Coturnix japonica: one gene and its partners. The protein of the gene in region 3 interacts with the protein of the main gene of each other region in a pairwise test. Links are inferred from orthologs where the notes say so. Each region holds a gene or a part of one and is shown on either strand. Other genes may lie near its edges. The genes, in order: PITX1, PAX6 and IPO13.

Region 1 (8,760 bases), on a different chromosome or scaffold from region 3:
CGCATTTTCTTTCTTTCTTTCTTTTTCTTATTTATTTATTTTTAATGAGGGAAAGGAAAATAATAATAATAATAATAAGGCGCAAATGCCAATTGAACCAAAAGCTCTCCCTGTTTTGAAATGGCACCGAGGCCGATCTAAGGGCCGGGTTTCAGCTGAAATCACGGCGGGGCTGAACGCGGGGCCGCGGCCTCAGCACTTCGCTCCACGCACCCACCCGGGATACCCCGCACAGCCGGCGGGCCCGCGAATGGGGACGGCGGCCCCGGGAGGGCAGTGAGGAAGGGAGGGTTTTGCTCTGTTTGCTCGGTGGTCCAGCGACCGGGGCAGCTCTGGGGCTGCTGCAGGCCTTGTTTGCTCTGCAAACCACTTAACGCCAGGAGAGGCCATCCGAGCTGCGATCGGCCCTTTCACCGCGTTGGGGTCTCCGTAGAAGTTCTCTCTCCCTCCTTTTTATTCCGGAGGGCTCCCAGAGCGAAGGGTGACTTTTCAAGGCCGAGTCCCCCGACCCCCCCCCCCAACCCCGTCAGCCGCACGCAGCCCACGATTCTGTTTAACCTCGCAGGGATTAGGGCTGCAGAAATGCCTCCTCACCGCCTCCGCCTGAGCCTGCGGGAAAGGCGCCCAGCTCAGCCCGGGGGGAGCGGACGGGCTGCGCACCCGCGCAGTTCCCCTTGGGGCAAAGGTGCTCGCATCCCGCAGCGGCGCTGCGCAAAGCCCCGGCCCCCCCCAGACCCCCGTCCCCGGGCCCACATCGAGCTGCTTTCAGGCCTCGCTGTGCCGTTCCGACACGGCCGAACCGGAGTTCGGAAAGAACCGAGGAGTGTGTTCCGAATGGTTCTGTCACCCGCAGCAGCGAGGCCAGGAGGGATTCCCGCATTCCTGTTTCTATAGTGCACAAATCCCGGTCGCCAAAACGCGACTGAGATTTTTGTTGTCTCTGTTGTTTGTGCTTCTTTCGAAAGTAGTTTTTTTTTTCTTTCTTTCTGCAGAGAGCTTTGCTCGGCCCGGGGTTAAAATAAACAGTCAGGTCCTAAAAGCAGCAAAAGAAGGGAAAGGAAAAAAAGAGAGAGAGAGAAAGAAAACAAAACAACAACAACAAAAAGTGGGGGAGTAAAGAGGGAGGGCGACTTTTGCAATTAATTGCTGCGGGTTTTACACCCCTGCCCTTCCAAAGTTTCCTGTCGCGGCCGAACACAACAAAGAAAACGGAGCAAAGATCGCGCCTTAGGTTTAAAGGAGTAAAAGAAAAACTCATGGGCCGCAGTGAGGGCGATGCCGCTGTTATAATCTGCTCCCCTCGATCCTTTTCGCCACTCAGTTCGAGCCATGCGGGTCCCTCGGTCTCCCCGGGCCGGGCCGGGCTGCTCTCGGTGCTGCGGTTTCGGTCCCCGTGGGTACCCCAAGCGCGGCTGCAGTGGGGCGGGCAGGGCCGGGGGTGAGGGGGTGGGGGGGGCTGCCTTTGTGTGCGTCTATTTGGGTGTGAAACAAACAAACAAACAAAAGAAAAAATGTATGAGAAAAAAATATATATATATAAATATGCCCAACCCCAACATCCCACCGTAGAAAAAGAGAGAAGCGGAGAGCAGAAAAACGAGGACGGGGCCGCCGACGACCCGGCAAAGAAGAAGAAGCAGCGGAGACAGCGGACCCACTTCACCAGCCAGCAGCTGCAGGAACTCGAGGCCACTTTCCAGCGGAACCGCTACCCCGACATGAGCATGAGGGAGGAGATCGCCGTGTGGACGAACCTCACCGAGCCCCGAGTCCGGGTAAGCTGGGTGCTGCGGGGCTCTGCTGGTCCGGGGGGAGCTGAGGGAAACGGCCCCTTTTGGGAGAGGGGCCGCGAACAGAGCCCGGCCTCTGTGGGATTGGTTTTGGTTGTTCAGATCGGTGTAGTGAGGTTGGAGAGGAGAAAATCAGCTCCTGGCTGCGGAGGTGAATTAGGGCTGTGCCGGGCCTTAAAAATGGAGCGGTGGGACCGGGCCGAGCCCGGGATGGAGCCGGTTTGTGGGGTGAGACCCCTCGGCTTGATCCAAACCCTCGGGCCCTTCGCATCGCTCCAGTTACCCCCATAATCCTGTTAATAACGAGGACCCCGTCCCCAGTAAACCACCGCTCCGCGGCTCCTCGGGATGGTGGCTCAGCCCTCGGGATCCGCGCGGAGAGGTGCGGAGCTGCCGCGCATCCCCCGCGGGGACAGCGCCGGGGGTGGCTCCGCTGTTCTCGGGACTGCGAGCAAAGCGAAGGACGGGGGCTGGGGGGAGACTGCCCTCCAAAGTCAATAAGCGCTGTGGACACATTCCTGTAAGACGAAGGCGCTGGGTCTTTCCACGGCTCCGAGAAGAGCCGATGCCATCCCGGAGTATATATAGCCTCGGCGGTTATTTAGAGAGAGATTTACGTGCTGCATAGCGCTGCAATGAACAACCAAAGCGGAACGGCTCGGGCCGTATCGATCCGCAGCAGTTTTTCCCACCTCCCCTCGCCTTTTCCTCCCGAGATTTTTCCCCCGCGTGGTTTCGGTACCGCTGAGTCCACACACGGACGGAGCAGAAATCTGGGAGAGAAAAAAAGGGAGTTTGAGAGTCACCCCTCAGCCCCTCAGAGCCCTTTCTGGTAATTAAACTCCAAATGATCCAATCGGATAGCAAACAATTCCGTTTAAAATCTTCCGTGAGTAAACACGCTCTGCATCCGAATGCATTGTACTAATTGCGTTTAAAACAAAACAAAACAAAGCCCGAGAGGAGACCGAACGGCATTAATATTGCTGGAATATTTCAGGAAGCAAATAAAACTAATATACGAGTGGCCATTAACATCATTTCGTTCTCCCTCTGTGTGGAGATGTTTTGGTTTGATGTTCTGAGATTGCAGATTGCAAATCTAACCTTAATTTGCTGTGAGGGCCTTCCTTTAAAATGTCTAGGAGCCATAATTAAAACTATTACCCTCATTTTCAGGAAATTCCTGTCTGGAAGCACCTTCCGAGGAGTATATTACAGGTTTTGAAAACGTTGCCTTTCGTTTCCTCTTCGTATTTAATACTGGATTCTTTTTATTATTGTTATTTTTTCAATTGACTCCGCCATCCCTTCTTCCCTCGCAGTTTTTTCCATCCCTATGAGCGCTGGTGTAAGAACGTTGCGCCATCGCTGAGCGGGGAGGGGAGGGCAGGGGCGCTGCGAGGAGCGCAGCCTCCGCGGGGCTGAGCGCAGTGAGGAGGGGGCGGCGGAGGAGGCTGGAAACGGAGCGCGGTGCTGCCGGGTTTAACCCGGGGATAGAATTTGGGAGCCGGGCGGCCCCTTCCTGCCCCGGCTCATGGATCCCATCGCGGGGGGCTCAAAGCCTTTCCAAAAAGAAAAGAAAAAGTAAATAAAATAGGAGAGAGCCTGGATCGGTTTTTTGCATCAAACACCAGGAGCGGCCCCTGCTCCTCTGTTCCCCAGTCAGGGCTGTAAATTCTCATTAGATATAAAGGCAGAGGCTGCATCCATCCAAGGGCCATGCAGGGACTGATTTTTTTTATTTTTTTTTTTTTTAAACCTAAACATACTAATCCAATCCCCTTTTTTATGATCTGTAACAGGGGACTTTTATTACACAGCATTAGCATTCGGAAACACGGCGGAGCCGGGGCGAGCCGGCCCTAATCAGAGCTGGCCGTGCCTTCTCCCCATGGCGAGGGGAGAGGGGCGGAGGGGGATGCGGACACCCGAGCAGCCCCGCTCGCAGATGCCGCTGAATATCGGCTGCGAGCGGAGATGCGCGGACAGGGAGCAGAGGGGCAGGGATCGATGGGACCGGGAGAGGTGGGACTGGGAGCGACTGGGGCCGTGCCCGAGCGTGGGGAGGTGGGGGACTGAGGGGGTGAGGGGGTGTCGGGAGCGTCTGAGCGCTACTTGCGCGCCTCTGCGCGGCCGGGAGCGCATCGTGCGCGGCGGGGCAGCTCTGACCGTGGCCTGTCCCTCCCTCAGGTTTGGTTCAAGAACCGCCGAGCCAAGTGGAGAAAGCGGGAGCGGAACCAGCAGATGGACCTGTGCAAGAACGGCTACGTGCCGCAGTTCAGCGGGCTGATGCAGCCCTACGACGACATGTACGCCGGGTACCCCTACAACAACTGGGCCACCAAAAGCCTCACCCCGGCGCCGCTCTCCACCAAGAGCTTCACCTTCTTCAACTCCATGAGCCCCCTCTCCTCGCAGTCCATGTTCTCGGCTCCCAGCAGCATCTCCTCCATGAACATGCCCTCCGGGATGGGCCACTCGGCCGTGCCGGGCATGGCCAACTCCGGCCTCAACAACATCAACAACATCAGCGGCTCCTCGCTCAACTCGGCCATGTCGTCACCCGCTTGTCCCTATGGGCCGCCGGGCTCTCCCTACAGCGTGTACCGGGACACTTGTAACTCGAGCTTGGCCAGCCTGAGACTCAAAGCCAAGCAGCACTCCAGCTTTGGTTACGCCAGTGTGCAGAGCCCCGGCTCCAGCCTAAACGCCTGTCAGTACAACAGTTGACGGACTTGACACGAACCACCTCCGACGAACAGCGCCGACAAAGCAAAACAAAAAAAAAAAACAAAACAAGAAAAAAAAACAAAAAAAAAAAAACAAAAAAAAGAAGAAAAAAATACAAAATAAAGCAGAAACAAAGCGACGTTAAACGGAAATGAATATATATATATATATGTGTGTGTGTGTGTGTATGTAGGAACCCGATGATGTGTAAAAGCAAAACCCGAGCAAGTGAGAGAGGGAAAGAAACAGCACAAAAAGGGGGGGGGGGGGGGGAGGGAAGGCAAAATCATAATGATAATAACGATGATAATAAAACAAAACCCGAAAGCTCTGCGGACTTCGATTGTCTAAAAAACCACCACCAACAAAAATGAGAATAAATAAGAATAAATAAATAGAAAAAGAGATCCGACGACACAACCAACAAAAGCAGCGCTTTAAAAACGAATAAGCCAATAGTAACCATTAAAAAAGCAAACCACCAAAATAATAATAATTAAAAATAATAATTAAAAAAATAATAATTAAAAAAAAAAAAGGGAAACGGACCAGAAAACTTTTTGCAAGAGACACCGAAATCTGGTACATGGATGAGTTGCAATTTTTCTCTGGATGATGCGGGTTGTATGTGTTTACTTGAACTTGCACAGGAGGTGGTAAGGCGGCCGCTCCCCGCGGCACAGCGGCCATTGGGGGCGGCCCGGGGGGAGCGCTGGGGGCGGCGGCGGCCGCGGGCGCACGAGGGTGGGGTATGGGGGGGAGGTAGGGGGGAGGATGGGGGGAGTTCGGGTGATGTTTACCACTGAGAAACGGAATCGCAGTCCAAAAAAGGGGGATGGGGGGAGGGGGAACAAAAAGGAAAAGAAATAACAAAAAGAAAAAAAATTAAAAAGATTTTTAAAAAATAAATTTAAAAAAAAATAAAAGAAAAAAGGGAGGGGAGAAAAAAAAAAAGATATAATTCGCAGAGTCGGTTCTGCGGGGGGAAATGGTTAAAATATTAGGTATAATAATGACAAGGGTCAACCACTTATATAAGGTTATATTTATATCTGCCGTTACGTTGTGCCGGCTCATTGTCCTTGGCCGTTGAATAAACTGTTTTTAAAATGCATGATTCTTGATGTTTTTTTCTTTAGTTGGAAGCTATAATCCAGTCATTCCCGATCCTAAGCAGCTCCAGGTTCCTACCTCTTCGTCCTTTCCAAACGACTGCAGTATCCCCGGGCGTGAGAGCGCAGACACCCTCCAGCGATGCGAAAACTCTCCAGCGTTTTCCCCATCCAAAACTCTTATCCTGATAATGAAATTATCACCCGTCTTTATTTAATCGCAGGGTTCCAGTCTTCTTTTATTATTATTTTTTTTTTCTCTTAAAATAATAATAATAAAGAACTTTAAGAGAATCTAAAGGAAAAAAGGCCAAAAATGGTCTGTTATGAAGCGAATCCAGATACTGCATCTCTGCTTGAGAACGGTGAGCTTCGGAGTCCGGAAGGGTTGCATGGCAAAGCCGAAAGCGTTCCTCGCTTTTCTAACAGTGAAAGGAAAACCAAGGAACCAAAAAACAACCCCAAAAGAGAAATCTTAAGGTGTTCTTATCTTAAGGAGTTCTTATGTAAATGTAGATAACTTTAACAAGTGCTTGTTGGCGAAAAAAGAAAGAAAAAAAAGGGGAAAAAAAAGGAACTGATAAATATGATCTTTATTAACACGCATACCAAACGCATATGAAGTTTAATTGCAGGCATATTTGTTGCTTCTCTTTTTGTTGTCGGTACTTCTTATTACCTGTAGATGACAAAGAAACGTAATATAAAATGCACACGGTACTTCTTTCCCAGTGTATTTCACACCTGTGGTAACGTTACGCTGGATGTTTCAGTTATGCTGTTGTGGATACGGATGCGGTATATATATTGTTTTATAAGTTATGTTTTGTGATTTTATTATTATTAAGTCCTTTTTTTTTTTCCTTCCAAAATTAAGAGCATGGGAATAATAATATTAATAATAATAATAATAATAAACAAACAAACAAACAAAAAAACCAAAAACGGTGAAACGAAATGTAGAAATGCCTTTAATGTTGTTTTCTGGGGTTTGAGACATGGACTGCTTGAAAGCAAAGGAGATTTCCTCCACCCCCCCTCCCCCCCTCCCTGCCCAGTGGTGGTATTTCGGGGGGGTCCCTCCGCTTCCTCCCGTAACTCCGCCGTCCCCACGACCCCCATCCCCGCCCCCGGCCCCGGGGAGGGCACACAGCCCTGCGGCCCCCGGGTGCAGCCCGGCCAGAGCCCCCCCCCCCAGCTTTACGGCGTCCTATCGCCGCTGCTCCGGTGGGGCAGTGGATGCCGCGTGGATTTCTGCTCCTCCGCTATAATAACCCCGAGCTCTGGGAGAGGTTCGTTTTTCCCCCCTCAAAAGAGTCAATCCTCGTCCTGAGAGGAACCCCCCCTCCGTGTAGCACAGCCCCGGGGCCCATCGATCCCTCTGAACCGTTCCTTCCGTTTTACTAAGGTGTTTTTCTCCCATATTTCTCGGATTTCCCAGATATTCTCAATTTAAGGTTTATTCGATGCCTTTCTTTTTTCTTCCCCCCAGCACCCCCCTTCGAACCCAAGTTGCCCCAAGCCCCACTCGCTGATATCACACCCGTTGTCGTTCCGATGAGATTTTGCCGAAAACGCCATCATTTCGCCAAAACGATCCGAGAATTCCTCTGTCCCAAAGCCGCTCCTGGTGCAGGGAGATGTGAGCTGCAGCCTGGCCCTGCCGAGCCCCGCGGGGTCCTCTGGCATCAGAGGGACACTGGGGGGACACTGAGCCCCGGCCCGAGCCCCTGGGTCTTCCTGAGCCCTCAGAGCCCCGGAGTTGGGGAGGCGGAGGGTTGGGGGGGAGGGCACCGGGCGGGGAGCTCACATTGTCCGTTATTGTAGCTGCACGAGCACGCACATCAGGTCAGGAAAATTCCTGCTTTTCCCGTCCTCTTTCCTGGGGGGGTTTATCTGAAAGCCCTCCGCTGTTATTTCAGCCTGGATTGGCTGCGTTGGTTTTTCTCCTGTTCCTGGAGGCAGCACCGTTAGCCCTAAATCAGGGCAGCAGCTACGGTGCTCGTGTTCAGCCCTAATTCTGCTGCCAGAGCCCCAAAGCCCCCCAAAATGCAGCTTGTGTGTGAAAGCCAGCGGCTACTGGGGTCTCTGCAACCACCATCAGCATCTTCCCCCCACTGCCATGTGCCAGGGGAAGCTCACCCACCACTGTGGGGGGGAAATGTGGGTTTCTTGACCCTTTTATGGCTTAGAGAAAGGAAAATTCCAAGTAGACATTGAGCAGAAAGCACCTCCTACAACATCCCCGTACATTTTTATGGATGTCCTGCTTCCAGCAGACTCCAGGTCTCCCCCACAGTGGTTACAATCAAATTAATGGGGAGATTTGGTGGGTTCGAAGCATGAGACCTCCTGTCCAAGCACAACTTCCTTAGGGATGTCCTCAGAGGACACCTCTGTCACAACCCAGGTGTGTGCCCAGCCCTGGGGGGGACATCATTACATGGTCTCTGAGCCCCCAGAGGGCTGCCCCCTATACATGACTCCCCGCCCCACTGCTCTTTGAGTGCTGGTTTTCAATCTCCCCTCACCGAAGCCATGTTGTCACACACCAGAAGTGATGCTTTTCTCACCCTGCACATTCCTACAAGTGGTTTCCAGCGTGGGAAGCTCATGCAAGGATTGCTGAGGCTGCGTCAGTCCATCCCCAGTGGGTCTCTGCCTTTGGCCGTGCTGTACTGAGCCCCAGAGCTCTACCCACTGCCTGCAGCCTCATGTGCTGAGGCGAGCGGATGCTTGGAGCCCGAGAAAGAGCTGAATCAAGTTTTCCATTCGTTCTGTGCGTGCTGGCTCACCTATTAGCATTCCCAAGGCCAAGCAGCCTGGGGAGTGCTCCACATACCTACCTGGGCCATGGCTTGGCGTGGGAGCCCTGCATGTGCTGAGTGGTCCCAAAGGCTGTTATGCTGCAGAGGCTCCTATTGCACAGCCCAGATGAAGTCCACAAAGCCCCAGCGCCTAAGACTGCGCTGTTCATTCCAGATTAAATGTCTTCTAATAAAAAGCTGTGGTCAGTTTAACTCTGTGCTGCATACTTCTCTTTATCTGTGGCCTGGAACTCAGCAAAGTATGCAAAGTCCCATTTAAATTAATGGGATGCTTCAGTACTGATTTTAATGGGATTT
Region 2 (10,572 bases), on a different chromosome or scaffold from region 3:
TTCTTTCCTTTTTTCCCCTTTTCCTTCTTTTTCGTCCCCCCCGCCCCCCTTCCACCCTTTTCTTCTTAATATTCATTCATTTGTTTCTTTACTCCGTTTTTTATCCTGTGCCTTTTCCTTCTCTCTCCTCCCTCCCTTCTGCCCCCGGCCCGGACATTACGTGCCCCAGTGGATCTGAGAAGCACCAAACGCGAACTCCCCGCACCCTCACGGCCCCGTCCCATCACCGCCAAAGCTCTGCGGTCCTTCTCGGATCGCGAAGCCTAGAACGACCCGGTGCCTCACAGCGCATTTCTCCCTGCGGCCGTCGGGACCGCCGCAGCCCGGCTCTGCCCGCACTCTCCGCTTTGGTTGTATCGGAGTCTCCGCTCCCAATGAGGCTCTTTGAGAATAAAAGAGAGCGTTTGTGCCCATTATTCATATCTCGGGAGTCCCGGGCCTTCACTACGTTAAAAGAGCCCCGAACGGACAATTCGCCGTCCGCAGATATTATATTTGTGAAACGCGCCTTTGTCGGAGCTTTTAACACCTTCTTATAACGAATCATTTGTTCTTTTCTCTTTAATTTTGATAGACAATTAGCCATCAAATATACACCAGTTGACTGTAACCGAGCATTAAAGTGCCCTTTATTTAACGCTAATTTAGCATGGCCGCTTTGTTTCACTTTGCCATCCGCGGACCAGGTTTTGTGGTACAAATAGGTGCAATTTGGGGGCACCCCGTCCCTCCCGGCCGGGGCGCTGCGCTTTGTGCCGCCGAGCGGGGCCGCACCGCGCCGAGCGGCACCTGGAGCCGGGGCATTAGCATTGATATGGAGTTAGTTGCGATGTAATCTCCTAAATCTGCCCGAGATTCGGGGAGATAATTACACTTTCGCTGAATTGCCAGGGGTCAGCGTCTCTGTGGACCTGAGGAGTTGATTTACTAACAATGGTGTTACATAAAAAATGGTGTTTGAGATTATAATGTTAATGGATGCAGCCACTGGGGAAAGCGGGCGGGCTCGGCTCATTCGATGGAACTCGCTTCGTGCTTTACACGGATTCAAATCACAGCAGCATTTAATTTAGAGGAACGAGTTCGGCGGTAATTACAGCGCACGGAAAGGTCGCGGCGCCGGAGGAGGGGATTTTCCCCAAGTTGGGATGCGGGGTTCGGCGGATCGGCTCTGCCTGTGCCTCTGCCCGGCCGCAGCCGTGGGGCCGCAACTCCGCGTTTGGGATCGTGGGCCCAGCAGAAACCAGTTCGGAATATCAAGAAGAATTTAAAAAGGGGGAAAAAGGATGATGAAGAAGAAGAAAATAAAATAAACAAATAGGTAGATAAATAAAGAACATGGGAAGAAGAGAGAAGAGGAGAGGAGAGGAGAGGAGAGGAGAGGAGAGGAGAGGAGAGGAGAGGAGAGGAGAGGAGAGGAGAGGAGAGGAGAGGAGAGGAGGAAGGAGAGGAGAGGAGAGGAGAGGAGAGGGAGAGAGGAGAGGAGAGGAGAGGAGAGAGAAGAGAAATAAAGAAAGAGAAAAAAGAAAAGAAGAGTAAAAGAAGAGAAAAAAAGAAAAAAGAAGAGTTAAAGAAGAGAAAAAAAGAAAAAAGAAGAGTAAAGAAGAGAAGAGAAGTAGAAGAAAAGAAAAGAGAAGAAAAGAAAAGAAAAGAAAGAAAAGAAAAGAAAAAGAAAAAGAAAAAGAGAAAAGAAAAGAAAAGAAAAGAAAAGAAAAGAAAAGAAAAGAAAAGAAAAGAAAAGAAAAGAAAAGAAAAGAAAAGAAAAGAAAAGAAAAAAGAAAAACCAATATCTACGGAGGAAATGCCCCACGGGTGGGACTGCAGTGTCCCCGGGGCACAACCAGCTCAGGGCAGCGCTCGGGGCAGGGCACGGAGCAGAGTTTGGGGTCGGGCCGGGAGCTGCCCCAAGCCCGGGACACGACGATGCTCCCGGCGGGGTCCGGCCCGTCCCAACCCGCACACGTCCGCCCAGCACGGGGGGGAAGAGCTGCCCGACGGCCATCGGGACCCAGCACCAGCCCGAGCCCGGACCGGCCGCCGACGGAGGCAGCACAGAGAGACCCCCCCAGCGCAGGAGGCGCGGAGGCTGCGTGTGATCCCCGCGGCCGCGGTGCAGGGGCACAGCCGCGCAGCTCGGCGGCAATCTGTGTGTTAATTGAAAAGTTCTGAATTTTAAGAGGTTGTGACAAGTTATAATTTGTCTCGTCAACGTCTGGGGTCCGCGCACGGCGCTGCAGCTCGGCGCCCCGCTCCGTCTGTCAGCGAGCAGCTCGCCTCGCACTGCCTTCCCCTCGCCCCGCGCGGAAATGACAAATGCGCGCCTTTATCCATACAATTTATTTCATTATTGTTGCCGGCACGAAGCATCACGATCAATCATAAGGAAGTCCAGTTGGCAGGTGTCAATCTCGCTCTGTTTTTGTACGTCTCGGTCTATATTTAATCCAATTACAGGGGTCACGGAGTAAGTGCAAATCCCCTTGTTACAACTCACGTCTTATTCAAGATTTAAAGTAAAAAGTCACCGCGGTCACATGGGCGCGTTGGGACCTCCGCACCGCCGCCCCCTCCCCGCGGGCGCTCCGCGGCGCGGTCGGGCCGGTGCGGGACTTTACGGCTCTTTTCCCGAGCGTTTGTGTGCAAATGAAGGGTCTCGTTATTGCGCGAGCGGAGAGGGAGGCTTTAATGACGGGAGATCTTTCCGCTCATTGCCCTTTCAAATACAATTGTAGATCGAACTCAGCCTTGTCACGTTGAGGAGCGGTGCGTCCCTAACATCCAGGACGTGCCTGTCGGCTCTCGGCGGATTGCATCCCATCACCCCCGGGGAATGCAGCCCGCGTCGGGGCTGCGCGGGGCGAGGGAGGCGCACGGCCCGAGCGGGGTCCCGAGTCGCGGTTATTATGGAAATGTTCGGGAGGAGGGAGAAGGGAGATCATTCCAGACAGCCCGAGCTCAAGTTTTTTTGGCCAAATTAATACCATTAAGAGTCCTCGAGAGGGAAAAAAAAAAAACAAACCCAAAACAACGCGGAGATAACGCTCAGCCACGAAGCGCAAAGAGCTGATTTACGGCTGCGTTTCTTTTTCGAAGCGAAGCTTCCTTTGGATTAGAGCACGTCCTCGGGACGCGCCTCTGCCCGCAGCGGTCCCGCAGCCGCCCCGGACTCCGCACACCGGGCTCAGCCCCGCCCGGCGGGACCCGAAGCGCGGCACTAAAAGGCCTTTCGGTGCCGACCCCGCGGGTTTTGTTCGAGGTTGCGGGGCTGTCGGGCTCCGTCGGGACGGCAAAGAACGAGGCGAAAGCGGCTCAAATCCGAGTCGCCGCAGCGGGGCTGAGCGCGGTCCTGGGGCGAAAGGCGGATGTCAGACGGAGAAAATTCTATCAGACTACGAAATAAACGTGAGGGGGGATAAAACCGAAGTACTGTAGACCACGTACCTTACGCACGGGCGCACGTCCCAGCCAAGCGCTCACCGAGCTCCCTCCTCGCGAGGCGCAGCAGCCCTTCCACTGCCATATTCCCCCGTTCTAGAGGGTTTCCTTCAGGTTACACCGTTTCCCGCAGCGGTCCCGGCCCCGCAGCCCGCACATCGCCGCAGTAAACAAGCGGTTCTGATGTGCTTATTATTATTGCTCAAGTTCTGCTTGGGTAGAGAATTAACGCTCATTATTACACCGCGTGCCGCGGATCGCCCCATCCCTGCGAGCTCGGGGCTTCGGGGCACCTCGGGAAGGGGATTAAAAGAAAGAGCAACTCCTCGTCGCGGTGGAAATCGAAGACGTACAGAGTTTATCAGCGTGCAACGCTCAACGGAGCAACACCCGGAGGGGGCACGGGGGTCCTCGCGCCCATCGCCCAAACACGGGCACACCAGGGACACCCCACGCGGGGCAATGGGGCGCAGCGCTCAGGCTGCCCCGCGTGCTTCGGGAGCATCGCTTTGCAGCTTCCCCCCTCCCTTATCCTATTTATTTTTATTATTTTTATTATTATTATTTTCCTGCGGCCTCTACGGCGCTCCTCAGGCACACGCGGCCCGCTCTCTTCCTCCTCCTCTCGCACCACTCCGCTCTGCTCGGATTTTTCCGAGGAGATAAAAGCGCAAACAGAGCTCGGCGGTGCTGCGAGGGCACCGTGTTCGGCACTCCGCTTTACGCCTCGGCAGCTTCTGGAGAGCGGCACGGCGCGGGGCGGCAGCACCTGGCCCTGCTGCGGGAGCCGTCTCCCGCTGCTGACAGGCGGATAAACGGGCTGGAGCCTCGGCGATCCCGTCTCTCCCCTCCCTCGAGGGCCCCGCCGGGTCGCGGGGTCCTCGGCCCCTTCGTGGCAGCGGCTCCGAACGCGCCTCACGGCCGCAGCCCGGGACCGGGGTCACCCCGCGGGGCCGTACCTCGAGGGGGGGCGGCGGGACGGGCCTCGCAGCCCCCCCGGCTCATCGGCAGCTCCGTTAACACCGAGTACAGTCCCACAGAGCAGCAGGCCGGGGGGGGGGGTGCCTCTGTGCCCGTACGTTCGTTACCCTCTGACACGTGAGCGCCGGTCGTAGCCCCTCTCTGCGGGCGGGGACCCACGTCGGGGCCGGGCACGGCTGCCACAGCCCTAAACGTGGGCCCGGGACGAAGCAGAGCGGGGCGGGGTAGAGCCGTCGGGGACGAGGGGTAACCCAGGAGGCCCCGTCGGACGGGGTGAGGGGCAGCCGGTCCGGGGTAGGGGGGGGGCGGGGGCGATCCCGGCAGCTTGGCCCCGGGCGGGGGCCGTGCCGTCAGTGCCGTCGGGGCGGGCGGCGGCCGGGCTCGTGTCGCCTAAAATGTCTCATTAGCTAAGTACTGTCCGCCGTGACGTCACCGGGGCGGCCCAGCCAATGGGGGAGGCGCTGGCGTGGATATTAAGGGAAAGTTAGTGCAAAGGCAGCACCCCTCTTTTATTGTCATTGACATTTAAACTGTGTGGCAGGTTCCGGCGTAGGAATCGCCGAGCGGAGCCGCCAGGTGCCTCCTCGGGCCGCCGCGCCGCCGGACAGGTAACGGCCCCTCGGTACCCCCACCCCACCGTCGCCCCCGCCCCGTCGGGGCCCGGGGACGAGCGCGCTCCGCGGGCAGCTCGCGGCCCAACAGGTGGGGAGCGGCTGCCGCGCCGTCGGGGGCAGCAGCTCAGGGCCGCGGGACCGTGCGGGCTGCGGGAGGGCTCCGCGCCGCCGTCGGGGGTTCGGAACGGGTGTCGCGGAGCGGGAGGGAGGGGAGAACCGCCGAAGGGCGTTGTGACCCCGAAATAGCGGCGAACAAAGGGCCGGCGGAGAGCCCGCAGACCCGCTTACCTGTGCGAGGCGTCCTCGGGCGCTCCTCGCCGCTGCTGAGCGGCGATATCGCGGTAAATGGACATTCTCCGGCAGCAATAAATCAAACAGCATCTCTGTGAGATCCTCCTCCCTAATTAGAGATGTTTATGGGGACGGTGTTTATCCAGCTGTCACGCCGGGAGAAAGCTGTGACATAATTACCTCTGACCAGAGCCGCTTTTATATGCGCATCCCGCTGACGTATGGCGCGGCGGCACTGAGAGATACGGGATCGGGCGTGGGGTTCGGCCGAGGGAGGACGTTTGCGACCATTACATCCCTTTAACCCAACTTTCGGGCTTCCCAGACGGGGAACGCCGCGATTTCAACTTGTTTCCGAGCGCGACGTGCCGAGGGCCGGGCAGAGGGAGCGACAGCCGCTGCCGGCGCCGTACGCGGGGTAGAGCGGCCCGGTGCTGGGCGGTGTGCGGAGCTCACGGGCGGCCCCGGACAGCTCGGCCGTTGGAAGTGCATTGGGGAAAGGCTTTGAGGGTCCCGAGGTGCGGGATCATAAGCCTCCCCTCTCTCGGTCTGTAATCAAACCCGCTCTGCGCTGGAGAACGGAGCTCGGCTGCTGCTCGTCCCAGACAACGGCATTTAAAGAGCCGCTCCACTCGGCCTTATCCCGCCGGTGCGGTGCTCCATCCGCACGAAGCGGTGCCAAAGTTTGGTTACCAGCTCGGAGAGCCCCGTGTAACTCTGCGCTCTGCGGGTCTCACCCGCTGTCAGCACAGATCCGAATAGGCACGCGGTGTCCCGGAGGCAAAAGCAGCGTAGTCGGAGCCGTCAGGGCTGGTGTATCTCTTCGCTCTCAGACCGGACTGGACAAGGGGACTTTAAGCATTTTTCTGGGTATTAAAAAAGGTACTTCGCAGCCCGGACATTAATCCGAGGAGACGATACGGGGTGTGTAGAGCTGTGCTCAGCGCCCGACAGAGTGCGGCGAGAGGGGACCGCTGTGCGGCACAGAGAGAGCGCTCGGGTGGGGGGGAGATGAAGAGAAGCGTGGAGAGAGGGACGTTACATTAATTAGGGGCAGCAATTAAAGAAAACACAGACAAAAAAAAAAAAATCTGACCACGTATAGTGGTTGCTTACTTTCATATATGTGTGTGTGTATATTATATATATGTGCATATATATACATACACACACACATATAAAACCTATTTTTCTCCCTGCTCTCCTTCCTCCCTCTCCCCCCCTCCCCCCCTTTTTTTTTGTTTGTTTGAATGATGTTCTAAAAACAATAGGGGAAAGTGGAGGCACGGCCGAGTGCGGGAGGTGCCGGTCTCGTGCGGGGCTGCGGGGGCCGGAGGCTTTGCAGGAACAAGAGAGAGGAGGTAGGAATAAAGCAGGCAGCCGCAGGCAGAGCTGTGCCGGAGGGCTTCGCCTTCTCGGAGGGACCGGCAGCGGGGAGGAGGCTGCTGGGTGAGAGAGAAAAGTCAAAGAAAAATCATCACAGGAGCAAGCGGGCGTTTAGTGCGGAGGGCTCCGGGCACGGCGCTCCCCCTCCCCTCCCGCAGCCCCGCCCGAGGACACCGCGTCCCGGCCCCGGGGCGGCTCCTCCCGTTGCGGGGGGGTCCCGTTGCGGGGCTGCCACGGCCACGGGACGAGAAAAATGGCGGCGGGGCCGGGAAGGGCCGGGCCGAACCGGGTGGCAGCGCGGGTCGGACACGGACAGGGCCCCGCACCGCAGCTCTTTCTTTCCTTCAACTTTCGGCTTTCTTCGCCCCCCGACACGCACCGCCGTGACGTCAGCGGCGTTCCCCCTCCCTCCTCCCTCCCCTCTTTGGCACAGGGGGGGCCGGGGGTGGTGGTGAAAGTTTTTTGGGACGGAGGGGACACAAAGGACGCAGAGCGGGTGGGGGGGGGCAGCAGCAGCGCGGCACCGGGACGGGTGTGGGGAGCGCTCGGAGGAGCTGCACGCCTTTCTTCTTCTCCCTTTAACTCTGCGGAAGGGAGCGAAGAAGCGAGAGCAAACCCCAAACTTGCTCGGTTGGTGGAGATTGCTGCGGGAAGAAACTATCCGGGGGTTGGGAGGGGGGGAAGAAAGAGAAGAAAAAAGATAAAAGAGCAAGAAAGCGAAGTGACAAAAGCGAGGCCCGTGGACACGGCTGACTTCCCCCCGGGGCAGCTCCCAGCCCCGCTCCCGAACTCCCCCCGGGGCTGAGTGTCCCCGGGAAGGGGGCGGCACCCGGGGGTCGCTTTGCGGTGGTTCCTCTCTCGCTCCGCACAGTGATGCGGGGAGCTGCGGTCGGGTCCCCCCCCTCTCTGCCCCCTCCCGCTCCCAGGCAGCTCCGGCGGCGCGGGGCGGGCAGTGCCTGCGGCCGCGGCCCATTATCCCGCTCCCATTGAGCGCCCTTTCACTCACATGCAAACTCCTTGGCAGAGTCGTTTGTCTCCTCATTGTACTTTATTTAAGAATGCAATGGTTGTCAGCGCTCTTATTCAGTTTCAAGATACTTTATTGATGAGCTTTGACTTTTAGCACTTTTCACATGTCAAGAGAAGTCAAGTGTATGCGGCTACGACTTCATTTCATGCTCCGCGCGTCCGTCCCTCCCTCCCTCCGCCCGGTGCCTCCCGGAATCCCCGGCCCCTCTCCGTCTTCCCACCGCCGTTCCGCCCCGCATCGGGGGACTCCCCGCTCCCGTCCCCTCTGTCTCCTCGTCCTCGGGGCCCTACACCTGCGGGGCGAGGAGGGGGCGGGGTTCCCCGCAGCCCTCGGCACGTGGGGCGCTGATCCGAAGGGCCCTCCAGGCCCTCTCGAGAGCCCTCCACGAGCTGAGTGCGGCCGAGCCCTGGGGGGCGAGATGCCCCGTTCCGCGCAGCGCCCGCCCCCCCTTCCCCCGCGCTGTGCCCCCTCTCTCCCGTCGCTCTCTGCCCCCCGCCAGCCCCGACCCGACCCCACCTGGGAACGCGCCGCTCCCTCCGCCGCTCAGCACCGCTCCGCCGTGCGCATCGCATCGCGGGGGGCGGCGGGGCCGGGCCGCGGGTGCGGAGCCGGGGCCGGGAGCCGGGCCCATCGTATTCATATGCAAACGGCTGCGCCAATTGAGCCGTGCCGGGCGCGGGGCGGCCAATCGGCGGCGGGGAGGCGATGGCGTCGCTTTGCATAAAGCAATATTTTGTGTGGGAGCGAACGGAGCATTTGCATGTGCGGAATGATTAGTGGGTTTGAAAAGCGAGCCCCGGCCCGGCCTCATTTCCCGCTCTGGTTAAGGCGCAGGGAGGAAGTGTTTTGCTGGAAGATGATGACAGAGGTCAGGCTGTGCTAATGGGCCAGTGAAGAGCGGTGGAGGCGAGGCAGGAGCGGCCGCATCCATTAGCGCGGGGCCGCCAATCAGAGAGGTGTGCTCCGGCCCCGCTCCGCCGCACACCGCGCCCGCTCCGCGCTGACAGCCACCGCGGTGTCAATCTCTGTCTCCTTCCCAGGACCTCGGCATCGCACCGCCGCCGCAGCCTCAGTGGAGACAAACTATTTTGAGGGCGACACTTTGGGAGCACGTCAGTGCCCGGCGGTGCGCCCCGTCCTGCTGACAGCAGCGGTGCCGCGGACGGGATATGCCTCTGCGAGGTGAGTCCGCGTCGCTCCCCGCACCGCTCCGCAGCCCCACGCTGGGCTCCGCTCCCCTCGCTCCCCCTCTCCATCCCATTTGCATTCCGCGAAGCTCCCGGGGAACTTTCCGGCCCGCAGCTCGCAAACTTTCTGCTCTCTCGCGGTGCCCTCTGGACGAGCCGCATTGGGATCTTGCGGCCAGCGGAGCCGCATCCAGTGGCACCGCCGGGCCATGCGGGGCCGTGCTGGGCCGTGCGGGCCCTGTGCGGCTCCGGACGAGACGGAGAGGGCGGGCGGCAGCGGCGGTGCCCAGGGGGCTGCTTTGTGCCGCGGGGCTCGGCCGGGGCTGGGACGCCGCTGAGGCAGGGGCTCGGCAGCAGGAAGACGGGGCTCGGGACTCCGGGGGGAAAGAAGACGGGGAGAAGCACCGCGTAGGCCTAGGCGGCCGGGACCGAGCGGGGCTGAGCGTGATCGAAGGGCCAAGAACACTTCTCGCCACCCCGGGCTCTTCCCGAGCCTCCCCGGCTCCTCCGGGCCCAGCTCCGCTCCGCTCCGGCTGCTGCTGCGCCGTACGGGATCTGCTTCGGTTCTGCTCGTGACCCCCACGATATCGGGCCTGGGATCCCCCTCTGCTCCAAAGCCTTTTTCTTTTTACTTTTCCCTTCTCCTTCTCCTTCTTCTTCTTCTTTTTTTTTCCCCCTTTCTTTTTCTTTTTATCATTATTTTGTAAGGAAGTCGCAAACTTCTCCGCGCAAGCAACAAAGTTGGTCCTTTCCCCCTCGGGTTCTTTTCCCCTCTCAAAGTGCCATCAGAAAACGCAGGTCTGGCTCTCACCCGCCCGGAGGTGTCACACCGCGGTCACTTCGGGAAAGTTGGGATAAAGTTTCGTAGGCCGCCCGCACGGGCAGGTGCTGCGCGGGGCAGAGAGCGGCGGCGGCCCCGTCCCGAGGACATAAAATAATCAAAGGGCCTTCGCCCATAAATGTTTACAGCCGCTGACCTTTCCTGGCGCCCCATCGCACGGCGATTCGTTTTGAGCTTTTACTCCTTCGCCTCGAGAAAGGGAAAGTTTGTCACCCTCACCCCTCGTTGCGTTTCTGCAGAGGGAGGGGGGGCGTGGGGGGGGGAAATATTCCGGAACGTCACCGGATCTGGGCCTGAAGCCCGAGCTGCGAACGGGGCCCAGCCTGCGGAGTTGGGGCCCGCACGGCCCCTCACCGCTCCGCACCGCCGCGGGGCTCCCAAGTCCGGGCTCTGCCGCGGGGCTGAGTTGTGCCCGGTGCCCCGGCAGCCTCCCGCACGGAGCTCGGGCTGCGGCGGCGGTGTGGGCACCTCCGGATTCGGACGGCTGTTTTCTGCCCTTCTTTCCCAGCGCCGGGTGCTGGTGCCAGCGGCGCCGTAAATATTTACTAGGGAACGTCAGCGCGCTGCGAGGAGCGCTCGTTCGGGGCTTCTTCTTGAGGATTTCAGGTTCCTAAAAGGCTCTCTATATCAATAGCAGCGTGGCTCGTCCTGAGTGAATCCCGTCGCACGCGGGAAGAGCAAAATTGATGTTTATTATAGGTGCAAAAGAAAAGGAATGGGTATTTGTAGGCTTGGAAATAAACCAAAGCAAAGCAAAGAAAACCAAAAAATGGAGAGAAAACGAAGGCTGCGACTATTTCATTATTT
Region 3 (10,566 bases):
GCTCTCGTACTGGTCGGCTGGGATGTCGTTCCAGTAGCGGGAGATCTTGATGTGGAGGGCGCTGGCGCCGAAGTACTGGATCTCGGGCACCTTGTCCATGTTGAGGAGCAGCCAGCTGAAGTGCCAGGCCTGCGGGGACACCTGCGCCTGCATAAGCCATTTCTGAGCCAAGTTCTTGTTCTCGATGTTGGGGTCGTAGTACAGTTGGTGGAGAGCCTGAAAGAGAAAGTGAGCACCTCAGGGTAGCCACAGAGCATAGCCCTGTCCTATGCCCAGGGGAGCACAAAGACATGGCACCCACTGGTGCACCACAGGGCTGGGTGGAAACAAGAGACCCACAGCAGCAGGACCCACAAAACTGTTCTCCCTTCCTTCCCACTCTAGAAATTTCCCTTCCTGAGTCATCTTCCATCCTCTCCTTCACCACACTGGGGCTGCCATGGGGTGCCTGTGCTAGGCCCAGCCCAGCAGCCCCACAGCGATGGTGGCCAGGTCCTCCCCACCCCTCTTCTCCCCGCCTCCATCAGCACAAGCAGCTGTAGCGCTGCTGCTGAAGTTTCAGTCTGTCGGGTTTTATGCAGCCCTGGAAAACCACAGTCACTAAGCTCAGGGATTAATCTCTGCTCCAGGTCCCTTTGAAGTGCTCCCAAGCCCGCCCAGCTACAGCTGAGCCAGGAGCTGGCATCAAACCCTACGGCTGCCACCTGGGATGGTCTGGAGCTGCTCACCCAGCTTCCCTGCGTGGAAGAGAACAGCACTTACCAGTGAGAGATCTAGTTATGGCCTTGCAGAGCCCACTGATCCACACACACAGCCCTACATCAGCCACAAGGCTTTATTTGCAGAGAGCTCCATCTTCTAGCAGCGAGCTCTCCTGCTCAGCACAGCACAGCTTAATTCAAATCACTGACTGCATGCCCCAGGAGCAGGGATGGCACTCATCAGGATAGCATGCACCTGCTGGAAGCCAGGGCGTGAGCCCAGCAGGTGGAGAGGATTTTTGATAGCCCCATCCTGGCTCCAGATCTCAAATATCCACCACCTCCCCCCTTGAAAGCTCTGTGAAATTCTTGTGTGGTTCTTGTACCCAGGAGAGAATTTAAGCCCTATTTTTAAGCATGCAAAGCTGGCAGCCTAGGGCACAAGAACACGCTTCCTAAGCGAGCGGTTGTACCTCATGCTGCTTCCCAGCACAAGAGCACAGAGCATGACAAAATGGCAGGAGCGCTGCAGAAAGGGACACTGTGTGAAACATCTCTTCTTAAGACTGGGAGGGGGAAAATGAGGATAACCTCTTTATGAGAAAGCAGAAGGTTATGAAACAGGCTGGAGGACGAGGCCAGCCACTGGCAGCAGTGCCCCCCATCACAGCAACAACTCACCTCATTACCAAGCAGGAGCTGCAAACATTCTAAAAGTTCAGCTGCTTCTGGGGCTGGGAACCTGGCCCCCATCTGCACATAAGCCAGTGTCCTGCTCCCCCGCTGCAGCCTGAGTCATCCTGCAGCAGGGCTCCAGCTCCCAACCATCTCCTCCTCGCACTGCCTTTGTCTTATTTGCTTTGTCAAAGCTTGCTTCCCAGCAACCTCACCTGAGACTCACAGAGGCATTACATTAGGAGGTGCAACCTGCAGCCATGCCTCATGGACCTCCAACTCAGCACGAGGCTTGCAAAGCATGCAACATGTTAATTACTCAGACTATGAAGACTCATGCTGCAAGCTGCTGGAGGGCAGAAGAATATTCTGGAAGAACATCCCTGCTGGCTTCCTCATTTCCTCCTCTTGTCCCCGAGCATCCTGACACACAGGAGGTGGTGTGGTGGCTCTCACCTGGGTGGCCTCCAGCTTAGGATGCCCCCCTGTACATTCTGTGGGGCTCTGCATAGCACAAGGAAGCCCTCAGAGGATCCTCAAGGATGGGCTTTAACACTATAACCATGCTCTGCAGGAGGCATCTGAACATGCAGCATGCTCATCCCTAGCAAAAAAAGGCAGAGACCTTCTGCAGCAGCTTTTGGCACCAGCTGCTGCTTGACTTGCACTCCAGACATCACTGTGCCAGCCAGCACTCAAGCCCATAAGGAAGCGCTGAAGATGACGAAGGGAACTCAGTGCCAGGAGAGAGAAGCAGAAGGCATGAAATTGGGCAGCGACAGCTAATGGGAAGGCTTTGTGCATTCTGATTTAGAAGCGTGGCTGACACCAGACCTGCCTCCTCTGCAATTAAACCTGTAACATGAGACCCAGTAAACAGTCAGGCTGTCAGCTCTGCCCTTTGCCCAGGGAATGAGCTTTCTCCAACACCATCTCTGCCTGGCTGAAAATAATTCAAGCTTGTTATTATGGGCCCTCCCTGCTCTAAAAAGCAGTGGTCAGAGCCCTGCTGGGCTCCAACTGCCAGAGTGGTGTCAGCCACCCAAGGAACTCATCCATGGTGTCACAGCTCCCACTTGGTCCCTCTGGGAGGCACGATGGGGAGCAGCCTGAGCATCGCTCCTGCCAAGCACACACAATGGACATCAGCTCACACCATGGCACCAGCAAGGAACAGGAGCTGCAGCAGCTGCTCTGAGCCCAGCACCAGTGTAAGCCAAAGCAAAGAACAGACACAACACTTTGCCCCATGAGTTCAGAGCGCCAAATGAAAAGAGGCCCTGTCAGTTTGCCCAGCAGAGAGGTGCCATCAGCACCATGTGCAGGGTGCCAGGAGCACCATACACCCAGTGTGCTGCCTGCTGCTTCCCAGCAGAGACACTGCATCTCCAGAGGCCGATTTGCTGTCAGCAGAGGTAACCAGGCAAGGAAAACAGCCCATATAAACGCTCTGTGCCCAGCACCCGGGGCAGTAGCATCCCTCTTTAGCCTCCTCCAGCCGCGGTGCTTCCCCATGCAGCCTCTTGCCTTGCTTTCCAGCCGTGCACTTGTTCCAGGCCTGCAGCAGCACAGCCATTACTCTGCCACTGCTGAGCGCAGGGAACGTCAGCCCGCCTCCCCCCGCACAACCACCATCCTCCCCCCAAAATGGCAGGAGAGCCTGAGCAGAAAGCAGCCGCCTGCTGAAGCATGGAGGAGAACAGATAGGAAATAAAGCTGTTGTGTGTTCCGCCCTCCCAAAAAACATGCTGCTGCTTCACCCCCAGCCTGACAGCAGAGGTGATGCTGCAGCCCCACAGCAGTCTGGGCTGCCCTCCTGCTGCTTAGCTACAGGTATCTCCTTGCAGAGAGCCGTGTGGTCCTCAGCCCAGATTGAGACATGGCAGCCCCGAGCTCACCCTGCTCTGTGCAACACCCCAGGGCAGCTGCCACCCCCAGCAGCAGCGGGGCCTTGAGGTTACACGAGTAATCAGCATTTTGAAAGGGACACAGAATGCAGAGTCCGGGTTGAGCTGCGAGGATGGACCCTGTTCATCACCTCTTAGCAATTCTTGTTGCCCCAGGAACCAGCTCAGAAGCACTTAGAGATGCTGCCAGCTCCTGTGCCACCCCTGCACTGCAAGTCACAGGCGACCAGGAGCCCTGTGATGGTGAAGCACAACACAGCAGAGCAATAGACAGCACAATGTGCCTCTGTCTGCCCAACATCATGGCACAGGAAGGAGCAAGGTGTTCAGCCAGGGTTGGTTCTGGGGGGAACCTACTGTCTGCAGCAAAGATCTGCTTTCACAGCCAACAGGATGAGTCCTTTCTTCCTTCAATCTTACAGGAATGTTCCTGTTCTGCCCCTAACATCCTCACAGGCACCGCTGCCCCATCAGCCTCAGCATCTCCCAGGGGCAGCCACAAGAGCCATCCCGAGGGCTGTGACACCAGGCCCACATCACTGCCTGTCCATGCCAGAATGCCACACACCACAGGGACCTGAAGATGCTCTGATTCCTGCCACGGGAGCTCCCCCACTCCTCGCTCTGCTCCCACCCCAGAGCTCATCACAGTGCCTGACTCAGCACCGAGCCAAACCCCGACTTCAATCACTATTCAGTGATATTAATAGAGCCATGCACAAAACCTGAGAGGCAGAGAAGCCCAGGCCAGCGGAACATCATTTATTTGTCAGTACCAACTCTGACAACACAGCTCTGCCCACCACCCTCCCACCAGCCCAGCCCCCAGCGAGAGCCCAGCTCTGTACAAGAATACCCCACCTGAAATGATACAGGGAGGGCTCCGTGATGCTCAGCCTCTGGGCTCCTCCTGCTCCCACCCTGCATTTCTCCCTCTCCATCTCCATGGCCAACAGCTGCATCTCCTGTAGATGTCAAGGCGACGGCAAAGCTGCGGCTGTGAGGGCTCATGGAGGGGGATGGGAGCAGAGCAGAGCATCCTAGAGGGCAGATCTGCCCGCTCCCATGCCTGGCTGCCCCCGGGCACTGCTCACCCTCCCGTGCCAGTGCAGACAAAGGCACAGTCGCTGCCTGCTGAAGCATAGGGAGGTCGGAGGCAAAAAGATCCCGCAGCCCTGCCCGCATGCGGATTAAGCCACAGAAGGTAGCGTTATTGTGGCGTTTTGCACACAAGGGCTAATCCTTGGGGGCGAGCTCTGTGTCGCTAGCATGGGGATGAGGGCTGTGACACCTGCAGCCACAAAGGGAACCGGCACCCGGCACCGGTGTGACACATCCCCAGGCCAGAAGCGATGGGGCCAGCCCCTGTGATGCTCTCACCGCCGTGAGCTTTGGCAGGGAGCTCCGTCCCCAAACAGGCAAAACGAGGGCTCTGGGATTTGCCTCGCACTGCCCAGGATCCTGCAGAGAGTCGAGGCGTTGGGAGCCCATAAGCTGGGGAGCTTTGGGGGGCTGTGCTGCTCACTGCGTGCCCTTCACCGCTACGCCCGCAGCCTCCATCACCCCCAGCATCGCTCACATGAAGCCGTTCCTCCCGGGGAGCCCTGCTCGGTCCCCAGCCAGATTCAGGTTCCCAGCAGCGGCTCGATGCCTCCTCCCGCATCTCCAGTCTCAGCGGCCCCGGTCTCTTCGGGAGCACCGCAAACACAGCGGGGCTGCACGGAGCGGCTCCGAGAGCTCTCCCCCACCAACCCAAGGATGCTCGGGATGCACAGCCCTGCCTCCCGCTCCCATTTCTGCCTCATCATCTCCCTCCCGCGGGCAGCGGGCACGGCTCGCACCGCCCCACCGCGGCCACACCGCGACGGGAGACCGACATCGGTGACGGCGTAACCGTGCGGCGCCCGATCCGCCTCCCCCGGCCCCGCTCTCACCTTCTCCACGTTCTCCACGGTGAAGTCGAGGCCCTGCGGCGGCGGCGGCGCCTCCGCCCTCCGCTCCATGGCTGCGGCAGCGGGCGCAGGGCAGCAGCGCTCCCCGCCTCCGTCCGTCCGTCCGCCCCGTCCCACCGCTCCGCCCCGCTCCGCAGCCCGGCCCCGCCGCACCGCACGCCGGGAGCGGTAGTCCCGGCCCCGCGCCCCGCCCCGCCGGGAGATACGTACAGCCCGGAGCTGCGGGGTCGGCCGTGCGGCCCATCGCTTTATTGCTACAGGAAAAGGCGGCTGTACAAAAATAGAGTTTATCCTCCCGTTATTTTCCTTCTTTTTTTTTTTTTTTATATAACAAATAATAGAAAAAAAACCAAAACAAAAAAAAAAAACCACGCTGCGGGCACGAGGAGCCCGAGGCCGGGGCTTCGCATCAGCGCTGGGGTTGCATGACACCCGGCCCCGCGGGCCCAAAGTCATAAATAGGAGCTGCCGCTCGAGAACAATAAATAAATAACTTAGAGCAATAAATAGTTGAGTGCCGCAGCGCCGCGGGGACCCTCGGAGCCGGGCAGGGACCCGGGGCTGGGGCTGAGCGTCGCCCCATTCTGCTGCACGTTGGCCCCTGTCCTCGGGGAGCCCCCCCGGGTGCTCCCTCCTGCCCCGCTCACGATGCTCGCGGGGATGTGGGGTCAGCAGTCCGGCACAGGGATGCCCCATCCCCTCCATCTCTCCCAGGTGGGGGCGCACCCCCCGGCTCTGCTTGGCACTGAGCGGAGGGGCTCGGTTTCAGAACCACCCCCGTCCGCCGCAACCGTGTCACCTCGGTCCCTCGTGGCCGTGTCACACCGGGACCACCCTCCTGCCTCCCTCCAGGCTGGGGATCGGCAGAGTGCATCGAGCCGAGGCCGAGCCGGCAGCTCCCCATCAACCGATGCAGCTGCACTCGGCCGCCGAGAGCTTCTCCACCGTCTGCCACGTGTTCTGCACATCCATGAAGGACACGGCCTCGTAGCGAGTGGGCCGGCAGCAGGGGTGGCTGAGCACGCGTTCCTGCGGCCCCGGCACGATGAGCTGCTGCCGCAACAGGCTGCCCAACGTCAGGTCGTAGTTGCTGCGTGCCCGGTGGCACGACCCGCTGCAGTACTTGAACAGCACGATCTCGTCCGAGTTGAAGCCCAGCCCCAGGTCGCGCACCTTCACCATCAGGTTGCGGATGTGGCAGTTGCGCCCTCGGGCACCACGCGAAGGTTTCCGTTGTCCCTTCTTGGCTTTGCCGGTGCCCGTCGGTGAGCGCTCGGCTCGCAGCAGCAGGTCCTCCGCCAGCTCCGTGCCACCTGGGGCTCCCGTCGTCACGTTGTCACCTGTGGGTCAGTGGGACAGCACTGTCAGCTCCTGCCCTCCCAGCACCACCGAGCTCCCCATCCCCTACAGTGACCACCTGTGCCCAGGATGGATGTGCTACCAAACCCCAGGGTGGCGGTACCAACACGCACCGTGCAGCTGGCTCCAGGCGAGAGGCACCTCCACGCCGTCCTCCACACTGGCAGTGGCCATGCCCCGTGGTGTGGGGGCTGCATCCAGCGTCTCGTTGCAGTGTGGGGTCCGCACGGTGCCGGCCACCAGCCCGGCCAGCAGCGACAGGATGGCGAGGACCCCCCAGAGCATCCCCTCCTGCAACACAGCAGAGCACGGTGGGGTGAGCGCCGGTCGCGGAGATGGAGATGGGAATGGGGGATCCTGACCATCATGGGCAGCCAGGCATGGGCTCACCTTGGGCTGTGGATGCGTGCTGAGTCCTGCAGGTCTTGGCTTTGGTGGTCCTGCTTGCTGCTCCATGCTGGCTGCAAGCATAGGGTGTGTGTCAGTGCTTGTGCAATGGGAATTGTGCAGCCCAGCAGCTGGCACACCATTGTCCCACCAAGCAGTTCATCCCCTCTCTCATCTCCCAGCGCCCCACCGTGCATCCCATCCCCATTGACTACACACCCACACCCCCCGTGCACCCCTCCCTGGGGATGCTGGCAGAAGGGCCTTTGCCCAGCACCTCTCCTTGGGAGGACGCAGGCCGGCTCTTCACACGAGCAGCCCAGGATGCCAGGCTGTGTTATAAGGCAGTGGCTGGGAGTGCCACAGAGTGGGGGCCCTTTTCCCATGGCTCTTCCCTGGGAATGTTTTTCTTCCTGGCAGTGGGAGCCTGACCTCAGGAGCTCCAAATCCATTAGCACAGGGTCCCCTGGTGCAGCCACCCCCGAGCCCCACACTGCCTGCCCACCATGCTGCCTGGAAGCTGAGGCACACAGCCCCGAACAGTGCGGCTGAAGGGTGGGACGGGTGTTTCCCATGGGGACACAGCACATCAGCACACTGCTCTCTCCAAGACCATTCCACCCCAGTGCTCCCACCCGCCGCCTGCTGACCCAGCCACACAGGGACAGGGCTGTCCCCTTGGAGCTCGGTGGCATCCTGCAGCAGGGACTTCCCCTTGGCTTTCTCCCCAGTGCTCCGTGGTGGAGAAGCATTGAGATGGGACATGCTGCAGAGAGCGTTGCTGGCCTAATGATGGGTGGAAGCAGCCAGGGTGCTGCCGGGGTGAGGAGACAAACTCCCCCCAGCCCTTGAGGAGATGCTCACCAGCCCCGAGGCCCTGTTGCTGCATGGGTGGCACTGAGCCATGCCATGCCGAGGGGCTGCCATGGGCACTGCCAGGCCCTCCAGCCCACTCTGGGGTCCGAGCACCGGGCTGGGCTGGCAGCAGGCCCCTGCCGTATCCCCATCCTGGCCAAGCACGACCCACGCAGCACGTTGCTCCCATGGCGTCCCGTGGCCCCGTGCCAGCCACTGCTGCCAGGTCATGGTTTTCCCAGGCCGGCACCCCCAGAGGGGCCATTCGAGGGTCCCGTGGCCCCGTCGGGCGGAACCTGGGCCCCCCGTCCCTGTCCTGCCGCCCCGCCGCGGCCCCTCAGCCCAAGCAGCACATCGGCACGGGACGGGGGCCCTCGCAGGCGGCGGGCCCGGAGCCAGGAGGTGACACAGCCGTGGGGCCCACGGTGCGGGGTTGCCGTCCCTTCGGCCCCGGCCCGGCCCGGGCACCGCCCGCCCCCTGGGAGCCGCGCACCGCCGGTGGTGGAACGCGCTCCGCCGCCCCGGTCCGAGCGAGAGCATCTGCCCCGGGAGAGGGAACGGGAGTGCGGCGGAGCCGGGCTGCAGTACAGGCTTCTCCCATCCGGCGGCAGCACGGCCCCGGAATCCAACGAGTGCAGCGGGAGGGAGAAGGTCGATCCCCGCGGCGAACCGCGTTTGCTCCGCACTCTCGTGGGGAGAACAGGCAGGGCTCAGCCGGGCTCCTGGGCACCGCAAGGGAATGGCAGCCCCGCAGCCCCGGCCGTCTGACAGCGGTGCGAGTGGGAGCAGCCCCAGGCACGGCTGGAAGAGCCCCGGCCGCTGATGGGCTCCGCAGCTCTTCCCAGGTCGGCATCAGAGCGATCCAAGCGAGGATGCACCCTCGCTCGGTTCAGCTTGCCCCCTCCGCCCCCCCAACACGCGTCCCACCCCCGGGGCTGCGCACCTCTCGCCGCTCACGCCGGGGAGCCCAGAGCTGAGAGCGAGTGTCCCGGCATCCCGGGGGCTGCTCGGGGCCGTGCATAACGCCGTGTCTCCTGGCCGTGCCCTGACACCTCCTCGGGCACCTGCGGGCACCACCGCGCTGTCCAGAGCAGGACTACGCGAGGGGTCTCCCGCAGATGACTCGAGGCTGGCACCTGTCCGCGGTACCGGGGGAGGCCGGGGCCGGACACGTGTGACCACGAACCGAGTGGAAGCGGACCCTCCGACCCGCGGGCAGCGCCGGGCCCCGCGTCCCGGTGCTCCCACCGGCACTACGGGACGCGCGGTCACTGCGGGAGCTGCCCCGCTCAGTCCCCGCACGCCGGTACCGGCTGAGCCCGTGTTGCCCGACGTGCCCAGCGGGCTGTGCCCGGCCCCGTGCCCCGGGCACTCGCAGCGGGGTCCCGGCCTCTCCCCGGCCCGGACGCGGAGCCCCGTTCCCCGCCGCGGCTGCCGAGCGCCTCCGGCCGCGCGGCTCGGATCGGGCAGTCCCGGGAGCCGTCCGGCCGGGATCTGCCCCGAGGTCCGGGCCCCCTCTCGCCTCTCCGCGGGTTTTGCCGGTCGGGGCGGGCGCGCGCCGAGCGGCTCCCTCCCTTTCCCCCCCCCCCGCCCGGTGATTCCCGTAGCGCCGCTTAGCGCAGGCCTGCGGACGACGCTGCGGCCGCCCCCCCGGGCGCCGCACTCACGTGCCCGCGGCGGGGGACCATCCCCCGGGCCGCCGCCGCCCCGCATCGCCTCCGCTCCCCGCCGCCCCCCCCGCTCGCCGCCGCCGCGCCGGGGCGGGGCGCGGGCGGGGGCCGGCGCTGCCCCGCCGACACCGGCACGGACTCCGTCCGCCGCTCGCCGTGCCGCTCCCGCTGCGCCTCGGGGGTCGCGGCGCGGGTCCCGCTGCGCCTGGCGGTGCGGTGCCGGGCCCGGCGGGCGGGCGCTCAGTGCGGGGTAGCGGCGGCTCCATCCCGCTCCCTCCGCAGCCGCCGGTGTCAAATTCCAGCGGCCGTCACCTGACCGGCGGGGCGGGCACCGGCACCGCGCCCCGAGCGGCACCAGGACCCCGACCCGCGACGGACGAGACCCCGCCGATAGCAGGAGCCGCACCCCGCGTCGGTACCGGGATCCACACCGGCCCCCGAGCTCGGAGGGAGATTCGCACCGCACCGGCGGCGGCACCGGGACCCGCTCGGGACTACCGGGCAGACGGAGCCCCGCAGGACGGACCGGCGGACGGCTGCCCCGACAGCGCGTTGCCAGCGGCACGGACGGAGCCCGGGGACAGAACTCAGCCCATCCCCGGGCGCTGCGGGAGGTGGGGACCGAGCCCCGCGCGTGGGGTGGCGGCGGCCCCACGGCGTCGGGGGGAGACCCACGGAGCGCCCTCACTGTCAGCAGCCCCGCGGGGACCCCTCGCACTCGGGGACCCGTCGGGAGGGGCGGCCCGTGGGTTCCGGAGGAGGCAAACGGGAACCGTCCCTACGGCGCGTCCCACGCACCCGAGCCACCTCGGGCCACCGTGTGCCTCGCGTGCGCGTCCGGAGGAGGAGTCCGCCCGGCCGCGGGCCCTTACCTCCGCCCGCTCCCTGCCTCCCTCCGCCGGGGCCGCCGCAGGCCCGGGGGACATGGGGGCCGGCTGGCGAGCCGAGCCGAGCCCGTGCGAGTCCTTACGTCACCGCCCAGGGCCCTCCACGTCCATCCCGGGCTCTCGAGTGCTCCTTGCGAACGTGCCAAATCCCAGGGCCGCCTCCGCTCGTCCGC

What was found.
Region 1: the proteins of IPO13 (region 3) and PITX1 interact in binary tests that used the Homo sapiens proteins (3 or more experiments, as listed by UniProt). The link is inferred for Coturnix japonica from reciprocal best matches to the Homo sapiens genes IPO13 and PITX1.
Region 2: the proteins of IPO13 (region 3) and PAX6 interact in a two-hybrid assay, tested with the Homo sapiens proteins (2 studies listed by BioGRID and IntAct). The link is inferred for Coturnix japonica from reciprocal best matches to the Homo sapiens genes IPO13 and PAX6.

What each region holds. Positions count from the first base shown.
Region 1 is NC_029528.1:2,529,266-2,538,025, reverse strand, and holds the end of PITX1 (pituitary homeobox 1), read left to right. Parts: intron 1-1,569; coding exon 1,570-1,775; intron 1,776-3,983; coding exon 3,984-4,523; 3' UTR 4,524-4,567; downstream 4,568-8,760. UniProt on the Homo sapiens protein: Sequence-specific transcription factor that binds gene promoters and activates their transcription. May play a role in the development of anterior structures, and in particular, the brain and facies and in specifying the identity or structure of hindlimb.
Region 2 is NC_029520.1:4,644,922-4,655,493, forward strand, and holds the start of PAX6 (paired box protein Pax-6), read left to right. Parts: upstream 1-4,944; 5' UTR 4,945-5,024; intron 5,025-5,318; exon of another isoform or gene 5,319-6,531; intron 6,532-8,508; exon of another isoform or gene 8,509-8,777; 5' UTR 8,778-8,919; intron 8,920-10,572. UniProt on the Homo sapiens protein: Transcription factor with important functions in the development of the eye, nose, central nervous system and pancreas. Required for the differentiation of pancreatic islet alpha cells.
Region 3 is NC_029523.1:17,978,077-17,988,642, reverse strand, and holds the start of IPO13 (importin-13), read right to left. Parts: upstream 5,368-10,566; 5' UTR 5,287-5,367; coding exon 5,218-5,286; intron 217-5,217; coding exon 1-216. Other genes in the region: ARTN (artemin), read right to left, coding at 6,139-6,575, 6,708-6,885, 6,985-7,065. UniProt on the Homo sapiens protein: Functions in nuclear protein import as nuclear transport receptor. Serves as receptor for nuclear localization signals (NLS) in cargo substrates.